Linked DNA regions of Sus scrofa. The protein of the gene in region 2 binds, or shares a complex with, the protein of the main gene of each other region. Links are inferred from orthologs where the notes say so. Each region holds a gene or a part of one and is shown on either strand. Other genes may lie near its edges.

Evidence for each region.
Region 1: the proteins of CSF1R (region 2) and CSF1 are in contact, whole or in part, in a crystal structure (PDB 3EJJ), measured with the Mus musculus proteins. The link is inferred for Sus scrofa from reciprocal best matches to the Homo sapiens genes CSF1R and CSF1. Residues at the interface, in NP_001032948.2 of Mus musculus: Arg142, Arg146, Leu149, Arg150, Lys151, Lys168, Val169, Leu170, Ser172, Asn173, Val231, Gly232, Phe233, Leu248, Ser250, Asp251, Phe252, Asp254, Asn255, Tyr257, Lys259; in NP_001107002.1 of Mus musculus: His38, His41, Met42, Gly44, Asn45, Gly46, His47, Phe87, Gln90, Asp91, Asp94, Arg98, Asp101, Glu110, Arg111, Gln113, Glu114, Leu115, Asn117.

What each region holds. Positions count from the first base shown.
Region 1 is NC_010446.5:110,194,675-110,200,661, forward strand, and holds the start of CSF1 (macrophage colony-stimulating factor 1), read right to left. Parts: upstream 3,559-5,987; 5' UTR 3,054-3,558; coding exon 3,015-3,053; intron 1-3,014. UniProt on the Homo sapiens protein: Cytokine that plays an essential role in the regulation of survival, proliferation and differentiation of hematopoietic precursor cells, especially mononuclear phagocytes, such as macrophages and monocytes.
Region 2 is NC_010444.4:151,119,621-151,124,900, forward strand, and holds part of CSF1R (macrophage colony-stimulating factor 1 receptor), read right to left. Parts: coding exon 5,054-5,280; intron 3,579-5,053; coding exon 3,442-3,578; intron 2,863-3,441; coding exon 2,703-2,862; intron 1-2,702. UniProt on the Homo sapiens protein: Tyrosine-protein kinase that acts as a cell-surface receptor for CSF1 and IL34 and plays an essential role in the regulation of survival, proliferation and differentiation of hematopoietic precursor cells, especially mononuclear phagocytes, such as macrophages and monocytes.

The sequences.
Region 1 (5,987 bases), on a different chromosome or scaffold from region 2:
AACCCAGCTTCCTTGGGCATTCCTGACCGCCACGCACAGCCTTGCTCTCCCTTGATAACAACCCAAAAGTCGTCTCCTCCAAGAAGCCTTCCCAGATCAACCCAGCCCAAGCCTGACTACACACTGAATTTCTATTAGGGACATGGGAGGTGTGCCTACCAGTCCCCATGCCAATTACACAGGAAACTCCTTGAGTGGAGGACTTGCCTCTACCCATTATTCTGTCCCTGCAACATCAGACACTGAGCCAGGCATCTTGTGAGCTGCCCACTTCTCTCAAGTTCATGTTCTTACGCTGGCTGGCTTCTAGTCTTGGAGCCAGAGATACTTTCCTGGGCCCAGCCCTTCCTCCTACCTGATTCCACACAGGTCTGGCTCTGCTACTGGAAAAACCAGGGGCCCAAACTCAGTTTCACTGGGAACCTATCCCACACCAGAAACCTTTGGAGCCCTGGGTATGTGTGTCAAAAAGATTAATCAGAGGCACTGGAGCCAGCTCTAGATCATCCCTGCCTGGCACCTGCCTATCTGAGCCCCGTCAGGCTCAGCACCAGCCAGCCAGCAAGAAGCGTGGCCAGAACATTTTCTGAGATCTCTCCCTCTGTCAGCACCCACCTGGCCCAGTAGCTGCTCCCCCGCAGAGTGATGGGACAGGCTCCTGACACCCTGTCATTCCCCTTCCTGCCTTCTTGCACAGGTCCCCTTAGCCCTCTCCTGGCCCTAGGTCTCCCCTTCTCTGTCCAGAGGCAGAGAAAGGCCCTTGGGCTTTCCTTCCCCAGCTGGATGTCACCTCCTGGCAGCTGATGCCCCCTAGTTCAGGGAAATGCTGTCAGGGTGGGGCGAGGCCTGGCACCTTCCTAGGTTCTGGGCTCTGGGCTCTGCCTCAGTAATTCAGACAAATACTGCAAACAAATAGCACATTAGAGGCTATGAAACAGCTCACAACAACATGCTGATTTGCATATAACTAAAAGCCCGAATGTTTGTCAGCTCTTAGCAGAGAGGAGAGGCCCTGGCAGGGCTCCAGGGAGGTTGGAGGGAGGAGGGGGGCACAGTGAGGCTTTGCAAGATGGGGAGAAGTTGATGGCAGAGAGAGGGAGGGGGAGGCCTCAGAGAAAGGCCCCAGAGGGCCCAGGGCCATTCGGCAGAGGATCTCTGAGGATCCCTGGCTGACCTGGGGAAGGGGAGAGAGTGGAAGGGGAGGGGGACATGGGGCTCCTCTGGGTGGCTGAGGAGGCAGCCTTGGGTGGGAACGGCTGTCCAGGCCCTCAGGAACCTGCCGTGGTTCGGGACCCATGGGAGGAAACTGGGTCTTGCAGAGGGTAAGTCTCCACCCTCCACTGCTGCCCTTGAGGCTCTGAGCCCCTGGGGGGGAAGTGGTCTGGGGGGAGGGGCCTGGGGAAGAGATGCTCAGGAAGGCAGCCACAGGCAACTCAGGATATGGTTGTTTGAGGACAGCAAGGAGAGGGCAGTGCTTAACCCCAAGGGCTGCCCAGCTTTTGGAGATATTTCAGGTTTCAGTGGGGGGAGAGTACAGCTACTATGTAAGAGGCTGACTTTGAAGGTGGCCAAAAGGGACTCCTGGAGCCCTGACTTGTCCCCAGAGGAAGATCTGGACAGGCACCCAGGGGTTAACACTCTAGCTTGCATCTGGCTGGGCTGGCTCTTCTCCCCACCCCTTTCTTCCTTCCACCCACCAGCCTTGGCCTCTGGGGCAGCCACAAGGAGTCTCTGCCTCGGGCTCAGAGAGATGCTAGGACATCGCAGTCCAGCTGGCCTTCCTCACTCAAGTCCCATCCTGTTTCATCTTCCCCATCAGTCGGGTCCTCGGAGAGACCTTGGCACGGGTGGACCCTTGGGCTGCCGCTGTCTGAAACCGGCCCCCTTTTCTATGCATTTTACTCTCCTCCTTCCTCAGAGGTCTCACTTCCAGCCCCTATTTGTCTTGTTGCCTTTCACCTCATCCTTCCTGATTTTCCCTTCTGACCCCATCTCTTCTCTCTCAGTTGGGCTCTTCCTCCTCCGTGGAAGGGTTCTTCCCTCTCACCCTATCTGCAGCCCCCTCTCTTATCCTCCAAATATTTTTCTGCTTCTCTCCCCCCTGCCCCACGACCCCAGGTTGTCCTCCAGGGTTTCACAGAAGCACACTCACTGGGAGACCACTTACTGTGCAGGAATGGTGCCACCCTGCATTGTCTAGGGGTTGCCCCAGCTACAGCCCGAGGTTGGGGCGGGACAGCCCCTGTGCAGTCCTGAGCAGCCCGCAGCCCCGGTCCACAATTCTGCAACCGCAAACCCTCCTTCCACCTCCTCTACCACCACCAAGCCCAGGATCTCCCCAAGGGACTGAACCATATTTGACAAGAAGATTCAGAGCTGGCCCCACGCAACTCTGGGGCCATGTCCCCCACAGACAGACTTGATCCAGCCACCCAAGTGCCCAACAGCTCCTGCCTGTGTGCTGGAACAAGTAGTGGCTTGCCCTGGCCCCCTTTTTTTGGGCTGCCTTGGCATTCTATAAGCTGGATGGCTCCTGAACCTTCGTCATCCCGACGTGCCCACTCCCCAGCAGGACGTGTTTATGGCCGGGGAGGAATGCCCACTGGGAAAGCACCACCCTCATCTCACAGCCACTCCGCCTGCTCCTCGTTGGAGGCTGATTCATAAGGAAAAGAAGCAAGGAGGGAGCCTCTGCGCTGCAGCTGCGAAGCCCTCTCTCCTGCCGGCGGGTGGCTCAGTGTGCCCGCCTGTGCAATGGGGTGAGCAGCCCTCCCTTTCCCGGACAAGCGCTGCAGCCCCAGGAGCAGCTGCAGGGCCGTCTCTGGTTCTAGCCGGAGCGCACGAGGGGCCTCGGACAGTCGGCGCGCAAAGATGGGATGGAAACCCGAGCCCGCGGCCCGGGCGGAAGAGCCTCGGCAGCCGGCCGCCCGGGTAGGGGCTTCCGAGGGGCCGCGCCGAGCCACGGAGCTCCCGCCCTAGCCCAGCCCGGGCCCCGAGCCGCGACCGCCGCTTACCGTGGGAGGGCAGCGCCCGGCGGCGCCCGGCGCGGTCATACGGGCAGCTGGGTCCCGGCCGGGCGCGTCGGCCGCCCGCGCTCGCTCGCTCGCTGGCCGCTGCAGAGTCCGCGCCCCGGCCGAGGGCCGCGCTGCTGTCCCGGGAGTGCGGAGGGACCCACGGCAGCGCCAAGAGCACCGAGGCAAACTTTCACTTTCCCTGAGCCGGGCTCCACTGGCCAGCTCCTCGGCACAGCCTTTTAAGCGGACTTGTGAGGCATGTGGTTTATGGGAAATCACCTTGGACAGGCGCCAGACACACACACACACATGCACACACACACCCGCGCGCGCGCGCACTGACACAGACACACACTCCAGAGGCCCACTGAACCGCCTCCCCGCCCCCACCCCGCGGGCTGGTCTTCCCCGCTAGTCTTGCAGTCGCCCTCTTTGCTGTGCTCAACGACGGCGCCTTTGAGAAAGTAACGCGGGCTCCGCCGCCTCCCGTCCCCCAGCGCGCCGGCTCTGGACAGAGCCTTGCCTTCCCTTCCGCGCTCTCCAGGCGGATTGGGTGCTCTCTCTCTCTTTTTCTAATATTCGCTTCAAGGGACTTTCCCTCTAAGCCTGAAAATTCCCAAATCTGAGCAGGAAATGCTCCGAGAGTAGGGAAAAACGCTGGAGACCAATGCGAATGCTGCAACACCTTGTGGAGCTTGAGTCAGCAAGTTTGTAGGCAGCCCTCTCCTGCCTAGGCAGCCCCCCAGCAGCCCGCCCAGCCTCTCGTCTCCCAGTCTGGAGGCAGCGTCCAGGCAGAGAGGCTAACTGCCTGGCCAGAATGGGATGGATTGTGTCCTGTGACAGGGAGCTGGGAGGCTCTGCTGTGTGCCGGGAGATGCTCCCCGGCACCAGACCTGCAGGTGATGTAAATGCTGGCTGGTACCCTGCTCCCTCCTGAGCGTCCAGACCTGGGGAGATAGGCATCCTGGCTCTAGATTTCCCCCGATGTTTCTGAAAATGCTTTTACTGAGCTGATTAATCACACTTTGTCTCTACGTGAGAATGAATTTAAACAAGGCTTAATAGGGTGAGCCTGGTAATTACAATGCCAAATTTGGGAGCTTTCTCTTTCTTCAGTTGGCTGTGATTCAATGTTTCTCGCTCTCTCTGTGTGACCACCCACTGGCAGCCCTTGGAAATACAGGGCAGTCTGGTCTGGAAGGGGCATTTCTTGTCATCCACCCTCAAGCGGTAATTTTACACCTTCGTGCCCTTGCTCATAGTGGTCCCCCAGCAAAGAACGCTCCTTTCCCCACTTGTCCTTAAGGCAAACGCCTCATCCTTCAAGGTTGAAAGCACACCACATCCTTCAGCAGCAGAGCTTTCTTCCACTCCTCGGGCGGATCAATGTTTCCTGTTCCTGTGGTCTCACTGGACTGGGCTCCTTTCTCTGCGGTCTCCCTGATCCACTGTCATTCGCTCATGCCCCACATCATTCTAAAAAGTACTTAAGGTGGTACTGAGAGTTATGTTTTGGATCATCAGATTGAAACTTCACCCCTACCCCGGACTGAGAACTTTCTCCAGGGTGGTCTCGTGGTCATTTACCTCCAAATCAAGTGCCTAGCACATGGAAGGTGCCCACTTAACAGTGACCGAATCAAATGAGGCCATTAGAGAATGATTCATTCATTTGACAAATGCACACCATGTGGCTGTGATGCGACAGGCACCAGGCTGGGCCTAAGAATGGACACGCTGACATACCTGCTTTCCTGGGCTTGGGAGCAATTGGAGCTTAAAGGGTGTGGGGAAGCCCTGGATGCTCAGAGCCTTGCGGAAGGAAGAGCAGAGACCGAGCCCAGCCAGAGGAAGGAGGCTGAGGGCTTACTTCCCCTGGGCATTGTTAAATGGGCCCAGTACAAGCCGATTTAAGACAATGGGTTGATACCATTTGCTCTTAAGGATAAGAGGTTAAGGAAGTAAAGTAAGGAGATAAACCTCTTGACTTGTGGAGCTGGGAGTAAATTCCACTGCTTCCCCTTCCCTGACCCAGCGCTGCCTCGGGCTCACTGAGGCCGGTGTGAGGATGCAGCTCTGGAAGGCAGCCTTTCTTTGTCAGCACGAGCCTCGGGTTCTTGTTCCCCCTTCACTGAAATTCTTTACACACCTGGGTTTGAACCCCGACCCCACCACTTATAGCTCTCTGCCCTTGCAGCTCTGCCCTGTCATTTGTTATGTGACTTGAGACAAACCTCTCTCAGCCTGAGTGTCTTCATCTATAAAATGGAGACATCTATTTATCTGTCTTTCTTCCTTCCTTCATGTCTTCCTTCCTTTCTTTCTGTTTTTTTAAAAATTAAAGTACAGCAGTGGATTGACAATGTGTGCCATGTTTATCTTTCTCACCAAAGTGAAGTGGTGATTTTACTTTGGTGAAAAGTGATTTAATGGGATGAGGCCTATGAAGTGTTTGGCACAGAACCCAAAGGTAGTGCTATTACTATTATTATTATTATTATCTGTGCACTCACACAGGTCTTGACTTATGACACAGAGTAGTGCTTGAGAGTAAACTTGAGAGTCCCAATGCCAAATTTAGTTCTAGCTCTGCCATTCATTTTCTATATGACTTTAGACAAAGGCCGTGATCATTTGACAATGGCGATGATGAGCCCTTTCCCCAAGGAGGGGCTAAGAGGTCAAATGGGTAACGCCTGGGGCTCTCTAGGGCAACGAACAGCCCCAAACAAGTGCTTGGTTATGAAGAAGCACTTTGGAAGCGTAGGCTATGCCACGCTGGGGAGCTTTGCCTGTGCGGAGCCGCAGAGAGATGAGCAAGGCTCTGGGTAACTGGGACTCCGCAGAGGGACTCGCAGCTGTCTCAGCTCTTGTTACCTTCAAAGGGGAGTTTATGAATCTGCTCAACTTCAGACACGTTTACCACCCGGCGTGGGGAAATGGAGGCTGGAAGTGCTCGTGGCATTATGCCTA
Region 2 (5,280 bases):
ACGTCTGCGACCTGCGCTGCTGCTCCCGGCAACGCTGGGCCCTTAGCCCACTGAGCGAGGCCGGGGCCGGAAGCCGCATCCTCACGGGTACTAGTTGGATTCTGAGCCCACTGAGTCACAACAGAAATGCCCTCCCTTTTTTTTTTTTTAGCTCTTTTTTAAAAAATTGACATAGAGCTGGTGTAGTGTCATCTGCGTCTCGGGCGTGCTGCGCCGTGTCTCACCGCCCAGCGTTCTGCTCCGTCGGCGCGACTGTAAGCTCGTCTCTATTCCCCGCAGTGTATGATACGTGCTTGCGGCTGGTTTCCCACTATAGTCTCTGTACCTCCAATGCCCCCCCCGCCCCCGCCCCGCTCTCCTCTCCCCACTGGTAACCGCTGGCTTGCTCCCTGGGAGTCTCTTTCTGTTCTAGTCACTGGCTTTATTTTTTTCAATCCTACGTCTCAGTGATGCCGTGGGTCCTTCTCTGACGGATGTCACTTTGCTCCGTGCCCTCTGCGGCCCTTTTACGGGACACGCTGCTCAGGCTCCCCCTTGTGCACCTGCTTCTCCCTCTAGGTAGCTGTTTTCCGAGTCTGTGAGCTTTTAGGGCGAGCTTCTTTCCTTCTCGCCTCTTTCTCCCTTAGCCAGCCACCTCTCTTGCCAACCATCCATCCAAACTCCCAGCATCCCCGCCACCGTGACCACCCTAATGAAGCCACCGTCACCTCTAGCTCCGACGAGCAGTCGCCTCTCACCTCTCCGCTTCTACCTGTGTCTCCCTCCGCAGAGCACCAGAGAGCTGGGTCGTGCTTTGTTCCGTCCGAGGCGGGTCACATCACTCCTTTGCCCGAGTCCTCGCCTTGGCTACAGGGACCCGCTCCTTCTCCTCCAGCCTCCCTGCTACCACCCTCCTCTCCGGTTCCACCCCGGCCAGGCCACGCTGGCCGACCCCGCCGAGCATCCTCGAGAAGGCTGCTTGCCTCTGCCCAGCACGCTCTTCTCGGAGATGCGCTTGCACCTCCTCCTCCGTCCACTTCCCGTCTTTGTCCAAATGCCAGCTTCCCGGCAAGATTTTCCTTGCGGATCAGCCCATTTTAAACTGAAAACCCTATAAAATTGATTTTTTTACACCACTGGTTTTGCTTTTTGTTTTCTCCCAGCTAGAGTATCACCTCCATGTGGGCAGGACTTTTGTAGCTGTGTCCTTACACTGAGAAGCACCCGGCCGGAAGAGTGGAGGAAGGCAAACCTCTACTGAGTGGCTGCTGTGTGCCTGCACCAGAAAACCCAGGCTTAGACCCAGAACCGGGAGCTTTTCAACATCCTCTCCTCCAACAGCCCTGGACGCTCTCGGCACAGGACGGGGCCCCAGGCAGAGCTCCCGCGCTGTCGTCCCCCCCCCCCCCAATAACATCTAACACACGAGGTGCGGCTGGACTCAAGTGACTCAGGGCCAGTCCCCCCGCCCCCCACCAAGAGACGCCCCTCTGCTCCGGATGCTCAGCCACGCTCCCGCCGCCCTCCCTGTCACTCCAGCCCAAGACCCAGACGTGGTCTTGGCTCCTTCCCCTTCGTCGCTTCCTCCCAGCGGCCACCAGGCCTTGTCCAGTACCCCACACAGGTCGTTCGTCTGACACGCTCCTGGGCCTCACCGCAGTCTGGCGCCCTTAGCCATCGCTGGCCTGGACCCCTGCGCTCACCGCCCTGATGGGTCTCCAGCCCCTGGTCTCCCATCCTGTCCACACGACGTCGGGCTGAGCCCCTCAGATCACATCTCCCCAGGCACACTGAGCACTTACTCCGTGCCAGGTCCCATGCTGAGTACTTCAAATTACACGCCTACATCTATGTCCGGTCCATGTCTACACCCTTAACCCTGTCTAAATCCACGTCCACACCGAGAGCTTCACAGCTGTCACCACAGGCCTATGAGACAGCTCTGGCCACCTCCCCACTTTGCAGGTGAGGCAGAGGTGACGCCGTCTCCTACGCCACTGGCAGAGCCAGGGGGAGTGCGGCCCGGGAGTGCGGGCTCCCGACCAGCGCGCGTGGCCCCTCTGCACACGCTCATCGCACCGCGCTCTTGAAGCCCTTCCACACCCTCTCAGCAGATACGAGGCCACTACCCATGGCCTGGCCGTGCGGACGCCGCCTTCAGCTCCGCCTTGTGCGGCGGCCCTCCCGCGCCGGCGGGTCCCTGCTGCTGTCCCAAACGCTCTCGCTTTCTCTGCCTTCGAGCCTTGCTCATGCTGTTCCCTCTGCCAAAAGAGCTGTTCCCTTCCTTTCCCATCCGTCTGCCGGGCCGACCCGCCTCCATTCTGGTCCCAGCTTAGAGGGCGCGTTGTCCAAGGCTCTTGGGTTGGGGTCCCCCTGGTGTTCCCAGGACATCCCACACATCCCCGACCACAACGGGTGACGGCCGTCTGTTCATGTGTCCCAGGGACACGAGCGTCCCAGGCTTGGAGGGACGACTGAATGGGTCGACGGTGAAGCCCGGGGGGAGCCACTGGACCCCGGCCCCCAAGCAGAACGGAGTGATGCTGGAAGCCGAGGCAGCCACGCCCTGGGGTTGCTCCTGGGTGGGAGGGGGTTCTGGGAGGGCCGTGGAGAGACGCCCCTAGCCAGGCTTTCCCGCGAGCTGGTCACCAGCGTCTCCTTCTCTGCATCAGCCCCCTCCCCCCGCCCGGGCCCCGCCCATCCCCCCACCACCCGATGCTCACCTACCACCCGGAAGACCATGGAGGTGGCGTGCGTGCCCCGGGCATTGGTGGCCATGCAGGTGTAGTTGCCGGCGTCTTGGAAGCCCACGGGATCGAGGTCGAGGGTCAGGACTTTTTGGTAACGGTTGTCGTGGAAGTCGGATTGTTGAGAGATGGCCAGCTGCAGCCAGAAGGAAGGGACACCGCACTCTGAGGGGTTGAGCCCCCGGAAGCTGGGGGACCCTTTAAAAGTCACCACTGGCCTTTTCCTCGACTCTTTCCTGGAACTCTGGGCCTCCGTTTCTCTATCTGCACAGTGGGACCGACACTGGCCCTGCGCTCCCAGGGTTGTGGTGTAGACAAAGTGAGACGCGCTGCGTGTGCGGACGGCACGGCGATGCCGCGGCTGGGGGAGGACGGCCTTGGGAGCGGCCTGAGTCCATTTCCTGCTGAGAGTCCGGCCCCACCCGCCCTCAGTCCCAGGCATCCAAGGTGGCCTAGGAACCTCTTGCTACATCAGAAGTGAGCGGACAGGTGGCTCTTGTCCGCCGGCAGGGGCGCAGGGAGTAGAGAACCCCCCACCCCAAGACGCAGCAGCGCGACCCTGCCTGCTGCTTCTGCGTCAGCCCCTGACCCGCAGCGGATCTTGGGCAAGTGCCCTCCGGCCTGGGGGAGGTCCCGCCCTGGGCCCTGAGAGCGGTGGGTGGGTCGGAGGCGGGGCTGGGGGCTGCGGCTGCGGGGCCCGCCCGCGGGCACCGACCTTGGTGTCTCCGCGGTGGAGGAAGACCTCGAAGTGGACATCCACGTCGGTGGCCGAGCACACGATCTGGGCGGCCTCTCCCCGAATGCGCACCAGCTCTGTGGGCTTCAGCGTCAAGGTCGGGGGGCCTGGGATGACTGGGGGCGGGGCGGGGGGAACCCGTGAACGCCCAGGCCGGAGCCATCATTCTGCGCCCACCACCGGCCGGGGTCCCGCCCCACATCCTGGGTGGCAGCCCCGACGCCTCCATCTCCCCACACCTCCTGCCTCCCAGACAGAGCTGGGCCCACCCGCCGCCCTCCCAGCCGCACCCTCCGTCTCGGCTCGGGCTCCTGCTGCCCCCGGCCCAGGCGAGCTCTTCACGATGAAATCAGGACAGTGCCTCTCTCGTGCCAACCTGGAGCGGCTTTCCCATCACTCTCAGAATAGAAGCTCCAGCCCCACCTCCCAGGTCTGTCCCTGTGCCTGCCCACCTGTCCCCGTCCGCTCACCGTGCTGCCAGGGCACAGCCTTCCCCGCCACCACCCCAGACCGTGCCCTGGGGAGGCTTCTCCCACAGTGAGGGGCGCTGGCCCCCGCCTCTCAGACCTACGGCTCCAATCCCCCTCAGAGAGGCCTCCTGCGACCGATTTAGCTGAGCCGGCCTCGTCCGACCCCAGTGCCTCCAGCTGGGCTTCTTGTTCAGCACTACGGCTGCTGACTTGCCTTTTGTCCCATCTGGAACCCTCATCAAGGGCAAATCCAGGAAGGTAACACCCCTGGCAGCTAGCCCGGTGCCCCACACGTGGTAGGCACTGAATGAACATCCGAGGCTGCTGTTGTTGAAAAATCACCTGATCTCCCCGGGGCGGGGCCCTCGTGGCCTCATGCATGGCCCCTGAGAGGCTCCTGGCAGCGCTGGGGCCCGGGCTCTCTCTGCCAGTGCACACCAAAGGCATTCGGGGCCTCTCTGCACTTGGGTGGGGGCCTTGGGCCTCCGGGACAGGTTTCGTGGCCTCAGAGCACAGGGCTGCTCTGACTGTGGCCTCATCACATACCCTGGACCCCAGTCTCAGGCCCAGGTCCTGCGCCTGGGTTCCCGCGGGCTCACTCGGCCCTTCCAGAAACCAGAATCGCCTTGGGCAGGGACGGGGGAACACAAGAGAGACGTCACCAGCACTGTCCCCAGGGAGGTGTCCCAGGCGCCTGCCGCCACGCCCCATCACCGGGCTCTCTGCTCCCCAGCGCCCGGCACCGCAGCTGGTGCCAAGCCAGAAACCCACGAGGCGGGTGCGGGAGCGCTTCGGGCCTCCCTCTGTTCCTGGAACCTGGGGAGCCTGTTCCCACCGCGGGCGACCTGCAGTTTCCTCTTTGCCTGTTTCTCATTTCAGCCCCAAAACGCGTCACCCTCCCCGCAGGGCTCCTCCCTCTCGACTCCGCCCCCTGCTCAAGGACTTTCTCGGCCTCTCCCACCGAGACCACCCTGCCCTGCGCTGTGGGCTGGTACGCGGCTCCGTCCCTGCACCCAGCACCTCGCCACCTCACCCCAGCAAGGGTCCCCTGCTGACTGTGGGGCAGGGAGGGAGCGGGTGATGAGGGGACCCTGGCCCTCCCCGTCCCCCGGCCCACACACCTTTCTGCACGTTGAGCCGGACGCTGTTCCACACCACCCTGCCGTCTACCAGGACGGTGCACGCGTAGTCCTGGCCCTCGATGAACTTGGCCTTGTGGATAGTGAAGCCATGCCAGGGCGAGAAGGAGTAGTTGGTTTGGCGCAAGACAGCCCGGCCGGGCAAGACAGACAGTCTGCGCAGCAGTGCCAGCGAGACGCCCCCTGCCAGGGCCGGGTCGGTGAGCAGG